3 linked regions of the Saccharomyces cerevisiae S288C genome follow. Changing the gene in region 2 together with the main gene of any one other region gives a genetic interaction. Each region holds a gene or a part of one and is shown on either strand. Other genes may lie near its edges.

Region 1 (6,475 bases), on a different chromosome or scaffold from region 2:
ACTGAAGTGGTGCAAATGTGTTTATCTTAAAAATCTTATCAAGATTATCCCGTTCCATGCCGTTGAATCCGGTGAAGTTGGCCCTTACTCCAGCATTGTTCACAATCAATCGGATTTCATTTTTATACTTTCTTTTCAACAAATTCAGTAGTGCTGCAACTTCTTCATCATCACTCAGGTCGCAGATGAGATCCTTCACGCGAGTATTCCTCACTGATGATGGGCATATGTCGACATTCAAGATGGTCAGGTTGCTGTAGTCTTGTAGGAGTTGAGATACTATGGCCCGTCCAAGTCCTTTACTTCCTCCAGTAATAAGAACTATGCCATTCTTAAATTCACGAAGGCTCTTCCAGGCGACCTGTCCCGACCGCTTTATATAGGAATTAGCAATGAGGAATGCATTTATCAGTAGTGTATAGATTGTTAGACAAATGCTTATCGAGTCGCTTAGAGACCTAGGTTAGTTCGTCATGTTAGTATAAAAAACGCTGTTTCTAACCTCATGCCTATTTTCTACTTTACATACCATCTCAATACAAGAGCTACCAGAAGTGGATAGCGCAGCAGTGGCAGAACTACCCAACGACACAAACAGTCTATATTCATCACCAGAACTTCACCTTTTCCTCACAGCCGTATTATCACATATTAATGTATCTGTTCTACTGATTTTAAAGAGCTACTTGTTATACGGCTAAATGCACTTCCGAGGGTAACCTGTTATTCAGGATTATATGAACAGAGAGAATAATGATGTGAGTTACTGCAAATAGCATAATTACTGGACTATATTCTTGTTGGCTTATATTATTACAACGATATTTACCATTAAAAGTGTCTATATCTTATATTATTGATGATCTGCCATTGCTACAGGATTGCACGCGACTAATAATTGTCTATTAAGTATATTTGGATGACTTAACACAAGAATTGTTTTCTCTCTCCTTTCTGAACTAGCCAGCTTTATCTTCTTTCCTTTTATGATCTGGACGGGAACCAATTCGCCTAGGTTCTGCTCAACATTTTTTAAGTCGTAAATCTGTATCAAATTGTCGCCAACGAGAATCAAATGATTACCATGGAAGCTCGCGCCGGTACAACAAAAATCAAGTAAGAGAATATCCTTTCTCCAATCAGACATCTCACCGTAGCAGTTTATTTTCACTACGGCTTCATCATAAACCAAGGCAAAAAAACTAGATTGTGATATTTGAAAAAAATTGACCGGTATAGCTTTGCAAGTGGCGATATCCTTTTTTGCTTCTTCAGTGAGAGATTCTATGGAGGGGCGTTTCTTGGAGTCTGTAGCACTTTTGAACGGTAAGCTATTCAAATGTGGATGCCTCAAGTGTGCCATCATATCTTTATCATTCAAAAAAGATGGTAAGACTATTCCGTTATCCTCGAATGAATCTTGATAAAGTATGACTGTTTTCTTTGTACACACAGCAAAACTTTTCCTGAATATGGCAATATCCTCAATTTCGTTATTCAGAATGTTATTACTTGAACTTGGGAGCTTATACTCTTTGTAAAATTTGAAATATTTTACTTGGTTTGTCAATTGATCAAATTCTGGTGTTAATATAACTATCTTCCCCTTTCTTTCAAAAAATAAATGTTTTGAGTTACCAAAATCATCAGCAATTTTGAAGAATCTCACCTTATCTCTGATTACTGTTCCCACAATGCAGTTTTCATCTAGAGTGTTTCCTTGCGCTAGGTAACGGCTCACTACCGTTGAGATATTAAAATAGCACAACTTTCTGTTATCCAATACAAACAAGAGCCCCAACTTAACATTGGCTTCCATTCTTTTGACGTCGTTTAATTCTAATATTTTAACGAAACCACTACCATAATCGTCTCTATATTTCACATAGATACCGTCTGTTGTAGCCACAAATAGGTAAATTCTGCCCTCGAATTTAACATCTTCACAACAAAGAATCCGTGTTGTCTTACTCCATGAACATGAATCTTTGTTTGCTTTTTGAGCGTAAGCTTTGAGTGCTACATCAATTTCTGATCCTTCCGGAGCTACAGGTAGATTCACCGGTGCATCCTTGTCGAAGTATGCGAACTCAGAGCTCAACACTGTAAATTCAAAGGCATTTAAATCATGATTTTCTGCATTTCTTTTAAAAGATTCCATGATAGCATCAATCCATTGGTTGAGTACTTCTGCACTTTCTGTAAAAAATTTGAACGATTCACCTGTGGCTGTATTTCTGATCTTAAATGAGAACTCGTCTGTGTTTGGATTCGCGTTAGAAATTTCAGTATTACTAGTCTTTCTATCTCCATACGCTGTTGACATGTGATTTCCAGAACTTTTAAGCAGAGGTCTCATGGAGTTAATCGGTGTCGAAAAATTATGCATTGGGGATTTATGTTCTTTCTGAGAGTAGTTTCTCAGAGGCTGTTTACTTGTTCCTGGAATTTTCCTTTTCTCGAGACTTAAATAATCTATTGGGATAGGTCTTTCAATAAGCTTATATTTTTGAGTTTCTCCTTTACTTATTTCCTCTGTAATCAGTAAGCAATTGTCCAATAATGCGATATACACTGGGGTTGGGTCCAGCCATAAATCCCTCTTTTTATAAACAGTGCCAGATAGTACTAACTTCCTTTCCGGATAAGTTAAACCAAGAGCTAGTTTATCCTGAATTGCATCATCGTCATTTGCGTTAGTACTACCACCGACGTTCACATAGCTTGTTGCATTACTACTATTAGTACTTAATACTAATTGTTTCGAAAACCTTACTAGTTTCCTATGGTCAATTGCTAATCCATGTACCTGATTAACTTCAAAGTTCAACTTTTCTACTTCCTTAATTACTATTTTCAGGTATTCATAATCCTCCATGGAAGGATCCGTGTTCTTCAAAATTGAGCGCAGAGTTACGGGCATGTTTTGTAAAGATTTGAAAAACCCCCCAAAGAATATAACATCATGATACATCTTCGATCTTGTAATTTCAACCGAGTTATCAATCTCCTTAAGCCATGTTACAAATTTCGTCTTGTTTTTCTTCTCCCACATTATGATTTCGTGTACCGTTGCCATAGCTTTCGCGTAATTCAAATATATATTCTTGGCTTCACCACACCATTTTGAATAGATTTTTCCAACGCCATCAATAAACTTACCTCTCGTTTTTAATTTCCAAAATATTGGCGTCAAAAGAAATTCGGTATGTAATTGTATTAGAGGTTCGAAGATATCAAATGCCAATGCCTTGAACTCAGGCTCATCTGGAAGTAGGGATTTGTCAAACCGTTTCCCATAGATTTCTACCGCGGCAGTAGCCATGTTTAAGGATCTTTCTTCTAAAATAATTAAGTCAAATATAAAGCTTTGTCTTTGTACTTCACGGGGATTAATTTCTGCTAAATCATCTGGAGTCAAGTGCCAGTATTCTGTCCAAAGTCCAACTGATTTATTTATGATTTCGGAAAGTTTTATTTCTTTTCTGAAGCCAGAGCTTTGGCCATGTGTGCAAACGTTGGAATAACAAATCAGGGAGTTTGTAGATCCATAAGTATTATCGATGAATGAATAGCACGGTAGTAGTTCGGTGAAAACACCAGTAATATCCAGCCCTCCCACAACTACGGCTACCTCTTCATCGTTAATGATATCGAATCTTACTGCTTTCTGGGAAATAAACGAAGCCATAATATTATCCACATTTGAGTCTATCGTATCTTGATCGAAATTTGTAGGCATTTGAAACTCTAAAAGTAATTGAACAATTTGGAAAAGATCGATTTTCGTGAAGACACATTCATTAAACCATTCAAAATAAACTTTCAAAATCCACTCATAAATAGCAGAAAGTTTGTAAACATTATCACATTGATAAAGCTTGTGCTCATCGATAGATTGAATTGAAAATGGTTGTGTCGGTGCAGTAATGCTTGGTGCTAATTCTAATGGCTTGGCTCCTAGTAAAGAGTTAAAACTACTTTGCCTGGCATTTGAGTTATTAAAAGTATAATCTGAGTCAGAATAAACACTTTCTAGGGCTTCTGATACTCGGCTATTCCCACTTACGTTTCTAGATGTTGATAGAGGCGGTGGTGGTTTCGTAAAAAATTCTGAGTCTTCATCATCAAAAGGAGATAGCAGAAGAGTAGTAGTGAAAGGAATTGGGGGTAAAGCTTTTTCTCTTTCATGACACCGTAGATCTGATTCATCAGAGAAGTGAGCCTGCTGTTTGCTACTATCTCTTGGAGATTTAGGGGAATTTGGACTAAATCCGTTCGCAAATGGTGATTTTAAGATCCTGGAATGGTTAGATATGTATTCCATGTGATGTCGTTCCTCTGAGTTTCCTATAAAGGATAGTTTATTAGGTGATCTTTCCCGGGACTGAGAACTGGGAGATACCATGGGTGAGTCTATCCGTATTGATTCAGTGGAATACAAAAGGGGTGGCGGTGGTGGTGGTCGTCTTTCTTTGACGTACTTTGTCGATTTGGGTGTGGATTCTGAAGAGCTAGTACCGTTTCCCCTTGCACTATGTTTTGATGTAAAGGTAAAAGCCTGAGGGACCGGGCTTTGGAATTGCTGGGTGTCACTGATTGGTGTCCAGCCAATTGAGATATTATCTGTTCCGTTATCAGAATCATCCAAAAAGGAGTTCCTCGTATTCAATGGTGGCAGTTTGGGCAATTCGATGCTCTTTCGTTGGCTTTCTTGACGGCTTACTCGTTTTTCTGGTGTTCGTTCAAAAGGGGAACTTCTATTATATCGATACATGTTAACTTGCTGCACTCAATAAGTTTTTTGTTTTAATGTTTATATTCGAAGTAGTATCAATTAATTGTTCATAACAGTGGCTGGAGGGGGTATACAGAACCACTAAAACCTCCAGAAATAATAGTTGAATAAAATATTGATGCAAGAAATGGATTTTGAACAGTTATATTGCGTACTGATCATCCTCTCTAGGGGTTGTTTACCTAAACGATGTGTTAACGTTTTCTCTAAATGATTTATATTGCGGCCTATGCGACGAGTCAGTATGAACAATAGAAAATCTTAAGAAGCCGTAAGCTAAAAACATCAAATGATTATAGCGCACCAACTGCTCGACTGGAAGCAGCGAAATTACGTATGTATGACCGAAGCTCAGTTAATTTTCTCTTAAGTAAAGACACAACCTTTAAATGTTGACTAACTGTGTTTGAGTAGGGGAAAAGTCCCCAAAAGTTGACGCATTTCCTTTGCATGACTGGTTTTGGAAAAGATTTCGACCTAACTCCCCAAAAAATTACTGTGAACACCTATCTGTGTAAATTTACGGTTGTTTTAGTCAAAATAGCTGTTATAACGTTTATCATAGTCCACTAAAACAGTATTTGGACACCGAACAAACTGTTTTCGATTAGGAGATTAATCGCATCTATTAAATAGCTTGATGTTTTTATTATACAATCTTCAACATTAGTTGTGATATGGAAGTTTAAAATACTGGCTAGAGACACTCGTTAGGGTTAAGGTAAATCGATAGCGGTAGTACATTATGGCATACATACCAAGATCGGGTAAAGCCGTTCCATAGTTAGATGCCTACTACTAAATGACGGTCTGAAATGGGAATTATATACGATAAATATCACAAATTGAGGAGATGGAATATAAGGATTAGCTGCTAATTATATGACAGGTTTATTGCGACGTTACTATATTACAACAGATGGCGGTTTTAGGGTAGTACCGCTTGCTTAATCGAATCAGATCAAATCAGAAGAAAAAGCAGGATCAGGCTTGAAGTACACGCTCAATGAACAAAAGCGAAAATAACCTTTTGTTTAGAGGTGCTTGTCATATCGAAATACTATATTAACTTTAAAATATTCCGCGCTACGTTGGGTGAATTAGAACTGACCAGGAGCATTTCCCTAATAAACTAAATTAGCGTGGCCACACTTTCAATCTTCGTGTGAACCTGTTGGAATAAAAATCAACTATCATCTACTAACTAGTATTTACGTTACTAGTATATTATCATATACGGTGTTAGAAGATGACGCAAATGATGAGAAATAGTCATCTAAATTAGTGGAAGCTGAAACGCAAGGATTGATAATGTAATAGGATCAATGAATATTAACATATAAAACGATGATAATAATATTTATAGAATTGTGTAGAATTGCAGATTCCCTTTTATGGATTCCTAAATCCTTGAGGAGAACTTCTAGTATATCTACATACCTAATATTATAGCCTTAATCACAATGGAATCCCAACAATTACATCAAAATCCACATTCTCTACATGGTAGCGCCTATGCTTCGGTTACTTCTAAGGAAGTCCCATCAAATCAAGATCCGTTAGCCGTTTCAGCTTCCAATTTACCGGAATTTGATAGAGATTCCACTAAGGTTAATTCTCAAGAAGAGACAACACCTGGGACATCAGCTGTTCCAGAGAACCATCATCATGTCTCTC
Region 2 (4,872 bases):
AATCCACGTTTTCTTCATTTTCATCGTCCCCTTGGTTTTCTTCGTTATCGTCTTCTCTGCTCATTTTATTGTTCAACCATGTCCATCCGTTTCTTCGACGATGTCGCTTCGTTTCTTTGTTGTCATCCGTTGCGCTTGGCTTTACCATGTCTGTTGTTCCCTCTCTTAACTCTAAGTCTTGTTCTACTGTGTCATTTCGAACCTTGACGGGTACCTCTTCGGCTTCTTTCTCTATTCCCATTTCTTGTTCCCACTCGCCACTAGACTGTCTGTAATGATTATAAATGTCTTGAAAATCACCAATTGACCCAGGCGAACTCATATTCTCAGAATCCTCATCTTGCTGTCTAAAAGGGGATTTGTGCGGATCTATTTCGACCTTTATTGTATTCTTGGTCAATTTTAGACGTTCTTCGTCGTCGTTTTTCATTTCATCCACACTTTGTTCTACTTCTTTTTCTTGCTCTTGTGACCTGATTCGATAAGTGTTGAATCTACTCCTTCTCAGTGACGATCGTTCAGGCCATGTCATGGTATTATTGATGGGCATATTGGAGGCAAATTCACCATCATCCAAAGTATTCGCTTGTGAAGTTGAAAAACCAATATCTCCTTCATCATAATGCCCTTCCGGTTGTGGTTGATCTTTTTTATCTGAATATGAACCAGCCATACTAAGAGTTCTGGCTAATGTAATGGCATCATTGTCGGTTAGTCCTGCACTATTTGAGATCTTTGTCAGTTCTTCAGTTATATCTCTTAACGACACTGGTCTCTCTTTTATTTTGGAGATTCTTTCTTCGACTTTATTTACTGTTTCAGAGGCACTGTCTCCCTTATTATCGTCATCTTCGTTATCATCAAACTCTGTATATGACCTCCGCAATGTTGAAGGCCTTCGTATTAGTGACGCGTTTCCATGCCTTGACAGCCCCCTGTTCAAGTTGATAGTGTTGTTCTCCTTATTTTCATATGATTGTGATTCTTTATCCTCCCCATTATCCTCAATATCGTTATTTTCATTGCTATTCCCATCATTATCTTCACCATTGTCGCTTAGTTGTATATTTTGTAAAGTATCTTGTACAAGCTCTAGGAAATTATCAGGCTTAACGTTAGGGTGTTGATTGGCGGGAACCCATAATAAGTTTTTCTTTAATACGTTAGCATTTAATTTCCTGGATGGAGAGTGAACACCTTTTTTTATACCTAAGTAGTTACCTTGTTTAGTCTTATTGGAGGATTCTATCCCTGAGTTACCCCTCCCATGCAAGTTCTCTAGCGGAGTTGGATCGCTATATCGTGTGTTATTAACGGTGGTTGTGTCACTTGGCATTGACGCAGAACTGGATGTCGTGCCAGACCATGATCGTCTCCCACTAGATTCCCCACCGAATTTTATATCTAATTCTGGATCAATAAGTAAATCCATTGACCCAATCGACAATCTTTTTAGGTTTTTTACGCTGCGGATTTCATTGTCAAGGGACTGTGCAGCAATCAAAACTTCAGACTTCCGTTTATCCCTTTGACTAGCGATCGCCTTATCGCTTGATGTAGTACGCAGCATGCTCTCGTTATCTCTATTGGACATTATAAAAGACAGCTAAATTCTCCTTTGAATTGAAAATATGTAACCCACAAAACAAACCAAAACTAACTAAGACCTTAAATTCTAGGAGACCAAATAAAAACCTTAAAAAAAGAAAAACGTCGAAACCTATTAGATGCCACCTTCTCTCTACTCTTAGATCTGACAACTTCAATACCACTGACACGAACGACTTGTTATTGAGTCCGTAATACAAAGTATAGGTACTTTATAGTCCTCCAAATTCTTTCACCAAAACACCAAAACTCGATTTTTTCACTCTTCCGTAACAAAAGCCCGGTCGCTCGATAGAATTCCATAATAGTAGTGAAAAAAGGTTATAGTACATAGGAAATTTTAAACGGTATACAAGTACGTAAAAAAGGCTAAAGGGTTATTCTATAACCAGGAGTTCCTACCAGAGTTTGTAAGGTATCCTTCAGGGATATTAATCCAAGGACCAGCAGTGCGAAGTAGCACTTATTCCAGATTGAGACCAATTTGGAAATGCGTCCAGCTTTCTTGTCTACTACTGTGAAATGTAAATTCAATCTTGAAGGACCAGGAAACCCCATGATATTGCAAAGGGCATGCAGGATTATGCAGCACCATAGGTTCCCGCCTGTTCTTACGAATACAAACTTGGTTAACCCTCCAAAAAGTGTTGTGTATAAAATTTGGAAGCATGTTGTCAGCAGAATGGAAACAGTTGTCATGGAGCCTTCCTGTAATTGCTCATAAGCATGGTGTGCGTGCGCAAGTCCAAAAAAAAGCGATGGTTGCCAAAATAACTGTTGATAGCTTAGTTGCGAATGCGGTATTAGGTTTAAGTACGTAGTCAAAAGCATTGACGTGTAAAATATTTCCTCAGTTATTGGTGCAAATATAAAATTCCTGAAACTCCAAATATTCAGGAATTCATGGTAAAAATCTTCAAGTATAGAGCTCTTTGGATTTAATAAATGATATAATACAAAATCTAAAACGGGTCCACAATATAAGGTCAATAACATCGCAACACATTTCGTTAAGTCTTTCACGAACTGGCTGAATTGCCAAGGGTTTGGCAATGCAGCGTAATAACCTGGGATAATACCTAAGCCTAAAAATGCGTCCTTGAAACTTATATGTGAAGTGGTACTAGATAATTGAGATTGTAAAAAAGGCACCAAAAAAAGGTTGGAAATTAGCATAATTGTAAGTTTTTGCATGCGAGATTTAATCGTTCGAGGATTATCTCGTTTAGACCCTTCTGGTTGTGAAGTTGCATATAGCGGTAGCACATAGGATATGGAGATGTATAGGAGCACTAGAAATGTTGAGAATTGTAGCATTGCTGTTCTGGTTCTCTCTATGACAGACAGTCAGTAGTCAAAGCATCAATTTATTTCGTTTTATTTTTCTTGACAAAGAAAATTCTATGTTTTGTTCCTGAAATCTCGATATTTTAGTAACTTAAAATAAAGGTAATAAAATCATCAAAGGTTTTCCATCCAGTGGTCCAAAAAAAAAAAAATACAGAAGCAACAAAAGAGCACCAGAAAATGCATTTTAAAAGAATTTTATTAATAATAGGGAATACAAAGGACGCGATAAATACCTTCATCTATAAGCAAACCATACATATATCTATATCTATAAGAAAAGTAACGAGAATTTTTTCTAATGTTTTTTTATTTTGTCACTTGCCTAACAGAAATAGGGATATCAATCTTCGCTACGCCAAGATGGTTTTCAAATTTAATCATTACTCGAACGCAATAAAACCTACAACATAGGCAGCTTTCAAAACTTGGAATTAAAGTTTCCTTAATGTCCTTATTAAATTCCAAGTTCACATTAATGTCTCGTTTGTACTGTAAAGGAGCAATCCTAACCCATTTATGAACAATCTGGTCTGTAAATTTCAGGGAAGTAGACGAGCTACCGCTAGGTAAAAATAAACTACTCTTGGATGAAGAAGTTACTGGCGTTAATGACGCTGAACTGGGCGACGATGAACTACCGTTACCTGTGTGCGATATTGAATCCTCAGATAATGCGTGCTTTGAGTGTTGTTTTAGGGTACTGACCTGTTTTTTAAAAATGTTGGATAAGTTGTGAACACTAACTTTCAAGTTGCAAATGCTTTCGATATCGTTAAACAGCTGTGAAGTAATAAAATCTGTAAATTTCAGTTCCTTTGGCCTACGGTCTCCCCTATTCATATTATATAACTCATTTAATTCAAGAAAATTCTTGTTGAACTTGGTTTCATATTCACAAATTTTTGAATGGAAATCATCGTACAAAGCTTTGATGCTTGTCAGCTTCTCTTTGTTCATCAACAGTTCAGAATTGAGTTTTATTGGGATAGAATTATCAGATTTAGCAGTTATACATATCAGTTCTGTGGTAATCGATTGAATTTCTGGCGGATCATGAGGTAAGCTATTATCGGATTCTATGCAAGTCAATTGTAAATCAAGTTTTTCCAATGGTTTTTTTACGTCTTCCGGAATCAACTCAGACAATCTCACCCAATTTTCTTGGTCGTGTTTACTCTTAGATTCAAAAACATTGGTCTTTCTCAATAATGAGGGAGCCCAATATGGTAGGCCCTGTTTTGGAATTTTCGCCTTTACTAGTATTAGCCCTGTCCTTTCTTTATTTCCCGTTAAATCATGATTATTCTTTCCCGCATTTGAGGAAGAGGACATTGAGCTGGAACTGCTGTTTAAAAAATGAGAGAAGTTCAGAAATGAGGAGGAATTGGATTTGTTTTTCAGTTTATATTTTAGTTCACTTTCAACAAAGGGACCCCAAGCTCTGGAAGTATCGGTATTATGACCACTATTTCCACTGCGGCCATTGTCCAAATCGTGGCCCAACTTCAAATCGTTATAGTTGACTAAATAGTTATTTCTGTTCTTAATGTGCAGTTGGTCCAATTTCCTCTGCAAAATTTCTTGGGAGTCTGATTCAATAGAATCATCAATGGTACCACTCAAGTCTGCACCGTGAATGTCGCGGTTCGTTATGGGTTCTTTTTTCTCTAATCTCTGAAAGATTTTTCTAAGAGCATCCAACCTTTCCTGCACTAGTTTGGTGATATCATTCAGCTGACTCATAGTGGTTCTTTCTCCGACGACATTGGCGTCAAAACCAAAAGGGATTACTCTTAGATTATATTCTCTTTCCTTCATAATATACAGTTTAGAGGCCTTTTGATCTTTACCGACAATCCTTGCATCAATAGTGTAATTGATCGAAAGGTTGTCATCAGACATATCGTTAGTTAA
Region 3 (3,911 bases), on a different chromosome or scaffold from region 2:
TCTATCTTTTCGCAGTTATCATCTAACCCGGAAAAGTTTCAACAAGACTTTAGCCTTTTAATGGAAACTCCCACTAGTTCAGCTTAAACAAAATAGAAAAGCTTCAACAGAGGAAAGAATAACGCAAAACCACCCTTTTCACTAAGATGCTTTATGAGCTGATCGGACTTGTTCGCATAACCAACTCCAATGCGCCAAAGTTGGAAGCAAAAGAATTGTCTTCCACAATCGGGAAACTGATTATTCAAAACAGAGGTGTGGTGAGGGACATTGTACCCATGGGCATAAGGTATCTTCCTAAAATAATGAAGAAAGACCAGGAAAAACATTTTCGAGCATATCACTTTTTAATGCTGTTTGATTCATCAGCTGCGGTACAGTCTGAAATTCTAAGAACTTTAAAGAAAGATCCCCGTGTCATAAGATCATCCATCGTTAAAGTTGATTTAGATAAGCAGCTGGATAGAGCCTCATCGTTACACCGTTCTTTGGGGAAGAAGTCTATTTTAGAATTAGTGAATGAAGATTATCAATCCATTTAGGTATAGCGCACAGGTTTTGACTGGGGACGCTACAAACACATGTAAATACATACATATCTTTCATACACATATAATAAACAAAGCAGGAAGAGCATTCTAAAAGCCTCACTTAACATAGACACCATTAAAAGCCACCCATTTATTTCAAAAATTTATAAAATTCTAAAGATAATCAGTGGTATGTGATTAAATAAACTACATGTATATTATGCTAAACGACAATCCTGACTAAGAAAAAGAAAGAAAAAGATATATATTTATATGTATCTACATAAGACCAACCGTATCCGTAATTGCAGATAAAATACTCATTAAGCCCTCTTTACACCTAGTGACGTTATAGACGTGGCGGACGAACGAGAAACAGAAGTAGATCCATCAAATAACGAAGGGCTTACACTGGGTTCATCAGTCATATTAAGATCAAAGTCAAGTTCCAAGTTGGACAAAGGGACACTTTCGATATCGTTTGAATCTGCAGCCAATGGATCACTCTTTGATATATCGTATTTCTCAATTGAAGTGTATGACCATCTGCAAAAAAGAGATGTATCTACAATTGGTAAATGTGTGTACTTTGTGTACTGGAAAATAACGTATGACAGCACAGAACCTGCCATAAGGTCTACAAAATAATGGTGTGTCAGATACATAGTTGACCACCATAACCAGCAAACATAAGCAATAAACAAGGGCTTCAATTTTGGAAAACAATAACAGAAAAACAGGGCTTCCATAGTAGCACACCCGGAATGCAGTGAAGGAAAAGCACCGAAAATGACGGAGGAATTTGAAAAAGCTGTAGTATACATATTAATACCGAGTAGCTTATCAATTCTAGCTAATCCACCAGGCGAGCCATGCATATCATAGTTGGCTGATTGCAATCCATAGAGAATTTTATACCATGGGGGAGCGGCTGGAAAGACATTTTGCATGATAACACCAAACAGGTTCATATAACCAAATGCAAAAGCATAACCTTGCAAAACAGTTGGTGGACCAAATACGAATAAGATGGCAGCAACGACAAATGGGGCCCCAAAATGAAATAGTCCGTACGGTAACCATGCTAAAATGTCCAAAAAGGAATTCGTCGATGTTGCAAGAATATCACTTAAATTGTCGCCGTATAAAATTGTTTCCACCGCTGGTAACACTTTGACAGTAATAGGAGGCCTGCGGTCATCTGGAAAGTACGATGAAGTGAAATACAGCGCCACCCATGTTAGGATGGGCAAGGCATTGAAGAAAAACTGTGACGTAGCTGGAATGATGAATAAAGTGCCCAAGAAACAATAAAAAAGGATCTTGAAGATCCAAGGTGCGGGATTAGTAATGAACACAAACAGCATGATGGATCCCAAGAAGATGTAATGCACCCAGTCGCTTAAAGCGGGTTTGTATTTTTGCACCTTCAACAACGTTTGATGGGGATCTAAACTTGTTTCTAAATCGGCTACATGGCAGTTTGGAGGTCTCTCTGATAGAAACCATCTCGAAAAAGGGTTTGCCATACGCAAAGGAATGATTAAAAGCTTTTTAAAATATGAAAACCGCAACCTGTAGGATATAAAATAAAGTACTTTTGGAGAAAATTCAAAGATCCTTGGGCCAAAAGCTATACCCAAAGTAGCTCAGTGTGAAAAAGGAAAAGGATAAACTTATGAAGTACTTAACAACAACCAAAAGTGAGCGATCGGACTAACCAACTACCTAAGAGATGTAGCAGTAGAAATCCTACTCTGTTGGTTCACGAACAAAAGTCGCTAGTGTTCTTACGCTATGGTAACTGAAGCAAAAAATACGCCTCTGCAGTAGTACCAAATCAGAAAACCACTTTGTAACAAATATGAACACTGATGGGCACTTTATTATTCTTTGACAGAAAGAAATAAAAAAGCGATGACCCGCCAAGCAATGAAGTTGATATTCTTTTGTTGTGGTTTTTTTAGCTCATTTTTGTTTTTTCCTTTTTTCAGTTTTAGGATCACTCTTCACGAATAACTTTTCATATCATTTCTGGGAGCTGGGGAGAGATGGATACTATTTCACAAGACATGCAAAGGGATGCCCAGACTGCAGTTTGGCCAAAAGGCTTGCAATGAAAGAGGATAGGTTGACGAGATCTTAGTATTTTGACTTGTTCTATACACAGGGAGCTATCGATTATCCTAGGTTCTCTTTTACTTTTAGCTTTTATTTAGTTTAAATTTATTATGTCTGTCCGTACTTCTTCAAGATCTAATAAGGGTCAGAATAAATATATTGAGTATTTGTTACAGGAGGAGACTGAAGCACCAAAGAAAAAAAGAACTAAAAAGAAAGTTGATTCAGCCATAGAGAAGAATAAGAAGTCTGATTCTTCTCAGGAGCCAAGGAAAGATACTGAAAATGTAAGAACAGACGAAGTAGACGAAGCGGATGAGGGCTATGTTAGATGTCTGTGTGGGGCGAACAATGAAAACTACGATGCTGCAGAATATTCGCATGGCGACATGGTACAGTGCGATGGCTGTGACACTTGGCAGCATATTAAATGTATGACTGATGGTAAAGACACCATAGATGGGCTAATGAGTGAAGATTCTAAGTACTACTGTGAATTGTGCGACCCATCATTGTATGCACATTTGGAAACGTCAAAGGAGGCAGAGGTTTCAGAGGATGAAGATTACCATGATGATGTTTACAAGCCCGTAAATGACCATGATGACAATGATGCAGATGTCTTTCTTGATGAGGAAAGCCCTAGGAAACGAAAAAGGAGCCCCGATAGTGCCAAAGGAATTCATATCAAATCCAAACAGGTGAAGAAATCCAATGGGTCAAAAAAAAGGAATAAAAGCATTGATGCCGCCAAGTCTGATACTGCCGAAAACGAAATGCCTACTAGGAAAGATTTTGAAAGCGAAAAAGAACACAAACTGAGGTATAATGCAGAAAAAATGTTCTCTACCTTATTTAGCAAATTCATCGTTCCCGAAACAATTGAGGCAAAACTTTATGAGCTTCCTGATGGGAAAGACGTTATATCGATATCGCAAGAGTTTGCGCACAATCTGGAAGAAGAACTTTACAAAGCTTGCCTTAACGTCGAGTTTGGTACTTTGGACAAGATATACACAGAGAAAGTGAGGTCGTTATACTCTAATTTAAAGGATAAAAAAAATTTGGAACTGAAGGCACACGTTGTCGAGGGCAAATTGCCTTTAAATAAACTGGTGAACATGAACGCATCTGAACTCGCAAATCCTGACTTACAAGAATTTAAAGAGAAAAGGGATAAGATTATCTTAGAAAATTTTATCGTGGAGGTACCTGACAAACCCATGTACGTTAAGACCCACAAGGGTGATGAGCTGATCG

The links. A genetic interaction does not mean that the proteins touch.
Region 1: mutations in RCE1 (region 2) and TUS1 are lethal when combined (synthetic lethality), as found in Saccharomyces cerevisiae (2 studies listed by BioGRID, with this or other methods).
Region 3: mutations in RCE1 (region 2) and AUR1 together harm fitness more than expected from each alone (negative genetic interaction), as found in Saccharomyces cerevisiae (2 studies listed by BioGRID).

What each region holds. Positions count from the first base shown.
Region 1 is NC_001144.5:981,196-987,670, reverse strand, and holds TUS1 (Rho family guanine nucleotide exchange factor TUS1), read right to left. Parts: upstream 4,778-6,475; coding exon 854-4,777; downstream 1-853. Other genes in the region: TDA5 (Tda5p), read right to left, coding at 1-458, 530-609. UniProt on the Saccharomyces cerevisiae protein: Guanine nucleotide-exchange factor (GEF) for RHO1 that stimulates the exchange of RHO1 GDP-bound form into GTP-bound form. Required for signaling of cell wall defects to RHO1.
Region 2 is NC_001145.3:812,387-817,258, forward strand, and holds RCE1 (CAAX prenyl protease), read right to left. Parts: upstream 2,926-4,872; coding exon 1,978-2,925; downstream 1-1,977. Other genes in the region: ZDS1 (Zds1p), read right to left, coding at 1-1,594; ubiquitin-ubiquitin ligase BUL1, read right to left, coding at 3,265-4,872. UniProt on the Saccharomyces cerevisiae protein: Protease involved in the processing of a variety of prenylated proteins containing the C-terminal CAAX motif, where C is a cysteine modified with an isoprenoid lipid, A is an aliphatic amino acid and X is any C-terminal amino acid.
Region 3 is NC_001143.9:433,728-437,638, reverse strand, and holds AUR1 (inositol phosphorylceramide synthase), read right to left. Parts: upstream 2,060-3,911; coding exon 854-2,059; downstream 1-853. Other genes in the region: mitochondrial 37S ribosomal protein bS6m MRP17, read left to right, coding at 147-542; BYE1 (Bye1p), read left to right, coding at 2,762-3,911. UniProt on the Saccharomyces cerevisiae protein: Catalytic component of the inositol phosphorylceramide synthase which catalyzes the addition of a phosphorylinositol group onto ceramide to form inositol phosphorylceramide, an essential step in sphingolipid biosynthesis.